Sus scrofa: one gene and its partner. The protein of the gene in region 1 binds, or shares a complex with, the protein of each later gene. Links are inferred from orthologs where the notes say so. Each region holds a gene or a part of one and is shown on either strand. Other genes may lie near its edges.

Region 1 (4,054 bases):
AGAAAAATGTTAGTGACAGCCTCACTTAATTCTGGAGTAGCTTTTGCTCAAAGTCTACATAAACAGCTATTACATTTTTAAAAACCACACACTGGAATTCCCACCGTGGCTCAGCGGAAACGAATCCGACTAGGAACCATGAGGTTGTAGGTTTGATCCCTGGCCTCGCTCAGTGCGTTAAAGATCCGGTGTTGCCATGTGCTGTGGTGTAGGTTGCAGATGTGGCTCGGATCCTGCATTGCTGTGGCTGTGGTGCAGGCTGGCAGCTGTAGCTCTGATTAGACCCCTAGCCTGGGAACCTCCATATGCTGCAGGTATGGCCCTTAAAAGCAAAAAAAAAAAAAAACCAAAAAATAAAAAAATAAAATGAATTAAAAACCACACACTGATTCAAAATATCATGGTCTATAACTCTGATCTCAAACTTAGGGAGAAAAATAGTAATTCTTCTTACTTATGTCATCTCCCTTTGAAGTTTCTCCACATGTACCCCAAAAGTGCTTTTAAAAAGGGGGGAGGGAGTGGTTTGCAAACGAAGACACATGGGTATGCAAAAACAGAAGGTTTTTTAAAATCACCTTTACAGTTAATATTATTTGTCAATTATCAGCCTCCAGAGACACAATTAACCATAAAGATAACTTTTATCAATTAAGCATTAAACACTTGTTTGAAAAAACAGAAGTTTTTCTCCCATTTTGCAGCATGCTCATACAGCAGTAACCAAATTGGCACAATTTAAGTGCTCAAAGTATGTTACATTTTCTCCCTCAACTTATTATCACCTATTGATCATCAGCTTTCTGTATTAAATTCCAACTTTCTTTCCTTCCCAGGGAATCCTAGAGCAAAGCCAGAAGGGTTGGGGTACCCTCCTATGCTAACACCATACCCTTTATTAAACCATAAAGAGGAGTTCCCACTGTGGTGCAGAGGAAACGAATCCGACTAGGAACCATGAGGTTGCAGGTTAAGGATCTGGCATTGCTGTGAGTTGTGGTGTAGCTCTCAGATGTGGCTCAGAACCTGCGTTGCTGTGGCTGTGGCGTAGGCCAGCAGGTGTAGCTCTGATTTGATGCCTAGCCTGGGAACCTCTGTATGCCACAGATGCACCCCTAAAAAAAAAAGCAAAAAAAATTTTAAACCATAAAGAGAGATGCATTTGCTTAAAAAAAACATACAAGAAGCAAAAACAAACAAAAAGCCCCCTTAGGATCAGATGTGTTTAGAATTCATAATTTTTTAGAAAGGAATAGTCTGCATACATCCTGCAAATAACACCCTTTCTGCAGCAAAATATATGTACAATCACACTAAATGAGACACAAAAACTGTAAATAGCCTCAGAACAGTTTAGAACAGGTTCTGCCAAGAAATAAGTTACTAAAAAACACACATTTTCAAGAACTCTTTGTACTTGGGGATTGCAAAAAGGAGACTGTGGGCCTATTCCAAGACACCAGTACTATTTGGTGAGCCTTAACATAAATACCACCTATCAATGTAGGTCATTTTGGAGACATTAAAAAATGTAAATATTTGAAAGCCTCTGTGAAGAGAAAGATTTCTGCAGAAATGAGCAAGACCACCACCCAGCGTTCCAAATATTTCAAGGATAATCTGCCAGGAAATGAGTGGAGGATCCACAGAGAATCACCAAAAATTAAGATGAAAGGGGAGTCTTAAAGGTCATCCAATCCAATTACCCAGCTATTTGAATCCCTAATCATCTCTGCCCATCCCTTCCTGGCATGACCCTGGAGCTCAGCTCTCCTCTACTGCTTTCACCAACTACTTCCCATCTTACTCCAGAGCAGATTAAATTGCTCCACTTCCCTCCCATTAATCTTTATTACTGCCAAGTAGAGAATTTACTAAACCCTTCTACAGTTATTTAAATGTCTGTTTTCCTCTCAGACTCTGATTCCTTAAGCCAGTGATCATGTCTAATTAATTTTCGAGTCCTCGGCAACCAGCACATAGCGAAGAGTCAATAAACGTTTGTTGAACTGAATTAGATTTGTCCTGTAGTCCAGGCTCTGTCATTGCCTAATTGAGTGGCTTGGGGCACTCCCTTAAGCCTCTGCTTAGCTGAGAAAAGGGATGGGGGTGTCCCTAGATGACATCGTCAAGTCCCATTTAATTCTAGGAAGTTTCCGATTTACGAACTTCATTTTCTAGGCGCTGTCCAACTAAGCACATAAGGGAAAACCGCAGCTTAGGTGCAACAGGCCTGGAAGGGATCCCTCGGGAGTGGGCGCTGCTTCTCTACCACCCAGTCCTCTGCTTTGTTGTGTCCTCCGCGGGGAAAGGAAGGATACTCCCCAAACCCCGCCTCTCCTCCTATGAGCATCACCATACGGATGGGAGGGGACTCGTGCCACCCAATCGCGGTCCCGCTAAACCGCGCCCCCACAGGACAGACTGCCAAGCCCCGCCAATCAAGAGAAGAGGGATCGTTCTCTACATCCAGTCGGAGAGCGGTAGAGCCGGGCCTAGACACCGCCCCCACACGCGGGGAGGTGACCGTTGGGCCCAAATGGGCGGTGTCGCCAGCCAATCAACATGCTTCTAGACGTTTCAGCGACCAATTGCCGAGAAGAACGCCTCCGAGCCAGGCAAGCAGAGGGCGGGAATAGGTGCAAGCATAGGCCGAGGCCACAGTCGGGCCCACATTTTTCTGTTGGGTATGGACAGAAGCGAGGGTTGCTGAGCTAGGTTCAGGGAAGCGGGAAGTTGGAACCCAACCACTGTGAGGCGTGGCCAACTGCGTCACTCTTCTCAATCGACTGCCCTTTAGAAACCCGCCATCCCTCCTGTCCCGTTCCTCTCACCTTCCTTCGCGGCATTGCCGGCGGCTGCGGCCCGACGGTTCCGATTCGGGCAGCGGCGGCAGCAGCAGTGGGAACGGTGGCTCCGGCGGGCTCCGTGGCGGCCTCTGTAGCAGTCCCAATCCTGCGGACGATCCCAAGTGCCTCCTGCTTCACAGCGTCTAGACCTTTCTGCGCAGGCGCCGCGGGCTGAGGCGCTTTTTCCTCCACTTCCGGCTGAGGCTTGCGTCACCTGACGTTAGGGCCAGAGAGGATTCTGGGAGGTTTCCCCCTCCGGTGAGGCTAGCGGGAGCCATTTTGGAATTGGGCAGAAAGTGGCAGCGACAGTGGAAACTGGGGCCCGCCATTTTTAGTTAGGGGAATGGCATCCTCTGTAGGCGTGGGTAGCCATTCCTGTTTGGGGCAGAAGCCTGACAGTTGAAGTTAACAGTTCTCATCTTTACAATGGGCAAAATTTCCCTTCCCTTTGGTTTTAATTTCTGAAGTCGAGGAAAGAAAGCCCCAGAATCCATCAGGTTGCTGAGGTTTAACCCCTTAGTCGCCGAATTGGCTAAAGGACGTTTCCCTTTATCACATAAACTCAAAATTGGGAAGGGCTATTTTGCACAAGAAACTATTTTAAGAGCCATTCGGTGTCTCACAGTGCTGGGAATGGGGGCTTGTGAAAGGACAGAAAGAAGGTAGCGTCCTTCATGAAGAAGTTTCTTGTCTGGTAGAGGAGACATTGTCCTTGCCTTTAGCGAACCGCAAGTATGTTGATCCGTTCACTCGCGAAAGGAGACACAACCATTCTCCAGAAACTGTTGCTCCAAAGAATTACCAGTTTAGCTCTGTGGTGAGCACACCCACTTCGTCCCCTCATCCTGTATGGGTTTGAGAGCCTTGGGTGGCCCTCGGGATGAGTGTGTGTGTGTGTGTGTGCGCGCGTGCGCGGTACCAGAGTTGGAAAAGCATTGAACCCCATTAGCCCAAGTGACCTCTCGAAATCCAGACGCTTGAGTCAGGAGTTGGAGGAAGAGGAAGGAATATTTTTAGTAAAGCTGGAGCTCAGAAAGGCATTGATGTTAGCTGCCTAGAAAGGAGAAGTTGGTGGAAGATGTAAGGTTGGCAGAAGAGCGGTAAGAAAAGGCTGAGAAGTGAACAGCAAGCGTTGAGGATTTAACCTCGCTGGGAGAAAAGCCTTGTGTGGAGTAAAGCTTTGCCCAGAGACTGGGAGGAAAAAA
Region 2 (3,518 bases), on another chromosome or scaffold:
GTGGTCGGTCCTCTCGGGCAGTGCCCTGCTTTAGAGGGAGAATCGTGGGGCACGCTTGGCCCTCATCTCCGTTCAGTCCAGGACCACACAGGTCTAGGGGGCCAGAGATCAAACAGAACAGGGGAGGGGTGTGTGGGTCGGGGTGGGGGGGCAGCTGCCAGGAATCTTCTCCCAGCTTCTCCGCCAGAGGCTAGAGAGTTTCCTGAGTAAGGGTTTAGGCGAAGGTTGACGAGTGTGGCCCCAGCTCCAGGAACCTTCCCAGCTCTGCTGCCACTTCCCTGTGAGACCCAAGGCCTGGCCTGAAGAGGCCTCACCTGATCACCTGGGACCAGCGCCTGGACAGGCCCGGGGGAGGCTTCTCAAGACCCCGCCCTTCCCACGGCCTGAGCTCCTTCCAAGGGCACAAAACCTCACACGTCTGACCCTGGCAAGCCCTCAGCCTCACTCAGACACTCTCCTTCTGCTCTGGGGCAGCCATGCCAGCTTCCTCCCAGTCTCTCTAACGAGACAAGCTCCGGCCCTTGGTCCCCAGTGGGTGCTTTCCTTGTCCTGCCCCTCACCTGGTTCAGTGCACAGCCTGAGTATCACTGCCTTAGGGAGACCTTCCCCGGCACCTCTGGCTTCGGCAACATGCTTGTACCTCCCACCTGGGGGTCAAACATCACAACACCGAGGGCATCCGCTTTGGGTGGAGGCCAACGAGTCTTCTCTCCAAACGCCCTGCCCTGACCAAAAGGCAGCCTGACGCTGCCACTCAGGTCTAGAAGCAACAAACGTCTCCAGGTTCGATGTAGGCACGTGGACCCTCCAGGCTCTTGACCGTGGTTCTGGAATCCTGGGCCTGAGGGCACTGCACGGCCTTGCCACTCTGTGTGGCCTTCCTACAACTGGGTGTGTGGTGACCTGGAGTCAGGAAGCCTGAGAGGGTCCAGCATCACCAATGCCATGAAGCCATTCCTGACACTCTTGTCCCTGCACGGGCACCAACTGCAGCCCCTTGGACACCACTTTCCGTTGTCTTTCCCAAGGACAAGCTCCATGGGGACAAGAACCAGTCCACTGAGTCCATGGCAGGGTGCCCGCAGCGCCCAGCACAGAGCCCAGCACCCTGTCCACAGTCGGGCTTACCGAAGGAACCGGCAGACGAGAGGGAGTCTGGAAGCTGCCACAGATTTTGGGCTGCCTGGACAGCCCTGACCTCTATGCAGCCGGGATCCACTCTGACCCAGCACCTGTACTTGGCAGTGCTGGTTTCTGGGGCCGGAGTGGGTGATCACCCCTCAGCACAGTCGAGGCAGCTCAGCTCTGGGGCAGGACCAGGTCCTTGGTCATTCACTCCCGTGGTGGCCCAGGGCCCCTCCTGCCCCCCAGGCTGAGCTGGCAGTGGCAGCCCCTCGCTTAAAATCACTCTCCATACAGCCATTTTTGCTGCATCTAATTCGACATTAGAGCACCATTTTCTGGGCTAAGCATTGGCCTCCTTGCCCTGTAAAGACTCCGGGACAGGGCCTTATTATCGGGCAATGTTCACAACTAATAAATAAGACCACTGTCAGAGCTTCTGTGAACTCTGATTTCCAGATCTATTAAACACGTGTGATGGTGAGAGCGGAAGAAGAAGACAGAGGAAAAAACCATTGGCCCAGGGTCCGAGTCCCATCAGACCTGGTCAGAGAGAATGAACACACGTCTCCGGGCAGCTGCCTTCCTCAGAATTGACACCCTGGCAGATAGGGGCTCAGGGAAGCTCGCTGGCTTGGGCCCTTCCTGCCCTGGCACCAGCCAGAGCCACTGGGGCTTCTGGCTTGTACCTGTTCACGTGCAATTTGCTCCTGAACCACCAACGCCCCAGCACTGGCTAAGAGTCCCAGGGAACCAGAAAGCTCCCCCAATGAAGGCAGGCCTGAGGCCCACATTCCAACCTCTGCCTCCGAGCCAGCCGCACGCGCCTAGGACCCTGGGCCTTCTATCTGGATACAGAGGGGAAGGGTGGGGGCCAGTGGCCCCTGACCCCACACATGCCCCACCAGGCCCCGAAGACACATATCCTCCCTGGGACCCGGCCCCTTGAGGGCAGGCACACGAGAGGTGGCCGGCGGGCAGGGAAGGCGCCTACCTCGACACAGATCCTGTTCGATAAGTTTCATCTGCAGGTGGAATATCTGCTCCTGGAGCTTGCAGATGGCGTGTTTCGTTCTCTCGCGCCTTGTCACCATGTAGCACAGATTTCTAACCTGAGGAGACACAAGAGAGATTTGCCACCTTACTCAGGGCAAGCACCCCAGACCTCCCAGCTCTGAGGGGGGGCCACCACTGCCTTGTGTGCCCAGGACATCCAGGAACCAATTCTCAGACCCTGAATGCACCTCAGCCCAGAGGAGCACGCAAAGCTTGGCCCTGTGGCCCCGGGCACAGCTGGAGCAGGCAGGGAGTGTGTCTGCTGAGCCCAGGCTGGCGACTCTGCCTTCCTCCTCTCCGCCTAAATGTCCTGGCTGAGCCATGCCATCGCCCAAGTGTGGCTGCTCTCCCGTGGACACACAGGGACCCAAGGTCTGCTGGGGCCCCACGAGGTCCCTAAGTGCAGCCCTCAGCCTCCTGTCCAAGGCTGCTTCCCATCAAAGAAACTCTTCCGCCGCAAGCACTCAGGCCAAAGCCACCTCCTACCATGACACACGAATGACTGGTGCAGGAGTAGCAAGAGCTCCGGTAGAGCAGCTCTGGGTGGACAGGCGGTTCCTAACACACTGGGGTCCAGCCTGCAGCTGACCCTGTCCACCTGCTGCGTGAGCTCTGAGCCAGGTCCACAGCTACTGTGGTCAAGGCCCCACGTGCACTTGGCTGCGTTCGCTCAGCCAGAGACAGAACTCCTCCGGGGAAAAGGCCGGCTCTCTCTCACCCCCAGAGGCCAGCCAGGAAGAGACTCTTAGGGCCAGGGAGACCAGCTTGCTTATTAGCTCATGGGACAGGGCCCACCCTGCAGCTGGTCTGGAAGCAGCCAAAGGATGGGCCACGTTGCTCCCTGTCCACCGGGCACCTCGCCCTAGGGGGCCATCCCTCCCCGGCAGCGCTCAGGGTATATCATGCCTCCCCTCCAAGACCCCGTCTTGTTCTGTGTTCTCTGCAGCTCAGTCACAGCCTCCAGCAGCAGGGACAGCTGGCCAGAAGCTGCTGAACTGGCATCCTGGGTCCCACCAGGGTCCAATTCCAGCTGGATTCCATCTTCATGTCCTTCAGTTTCCGGGGCACGACTGATGGGTTCCAGAGCCCCTGCCTATTGTCACGACCGTCACTTCTCCTGGCCTGGCAGGGGGCTGCGGTCAGACCTCTCTGCTGGGATGGGCCGCCTCCTCTCCTTCCTGAGCCTAGTTGTGAAGGAGACCCCGGGACACCTGCGCCAGGCTAGGCTGTGGCAGGATGGGCACAGCAGGGCTTCTCGGCAGCACTCCGCACCCTGGCCTCGACCGTGAATGCCAGGCTCTCCCGTGGCCAGCACCTCCCCAAGGGACAACCACCTGGCC

The links. The genes of interacting proteins can lie anywhere in the genome.
Region 2: KAT7 (region 1) and JADE2 share a complex: the UniProt entries of both Homo sapiens proteins name them as parts of the HBO1 complex. The link is inferred for Sus scrofa from reciprocal best matches to the Homo sapiens genes KAT7 and JADE2.

Annotation. Positions count from the first base shown.
Region 1 is NC_010454.4:25,969,914-25,973,967, reverse strand, and holds the start of KAT7 (histone acetyltransferase KAT7), read right to left. Parts: upstream 2,812-4,054; 5' UTR 2,203-2,811; coding exon 2,170-2,202; intron 1-2,169. UniProt on the Homo sapiens protein: Catalytic subunit of histone acetyltransferase HBO1 complexes, which specifically mediate acetylation of histone H3 at 'Lys-14' (H3K14ac), thereby regulating various processes, such as gene transcription, protein ubiquitination, immune regulation, stem cell pluripotent and self-renewal maintenance and embryonic development.
Region 2 is NC_010444.4:136,822,040-136,825,557, reverse strand, and holds part of JADE2 (protein Jade-2), read right to left. Parts: intron 2,235-3,518; coding exon 2,117-2,234; intron 1-2,116. UniProt on the Homo sapiens protein: Scaffold subunit of some HBO1 complexes, which have a histone H4 acetyltransferase activity. Acts as an E3 ubiquitin-protein ligase mediating the ubiquitination and subsequent proteasomal degradation of target protein histone demethylase KDM1A.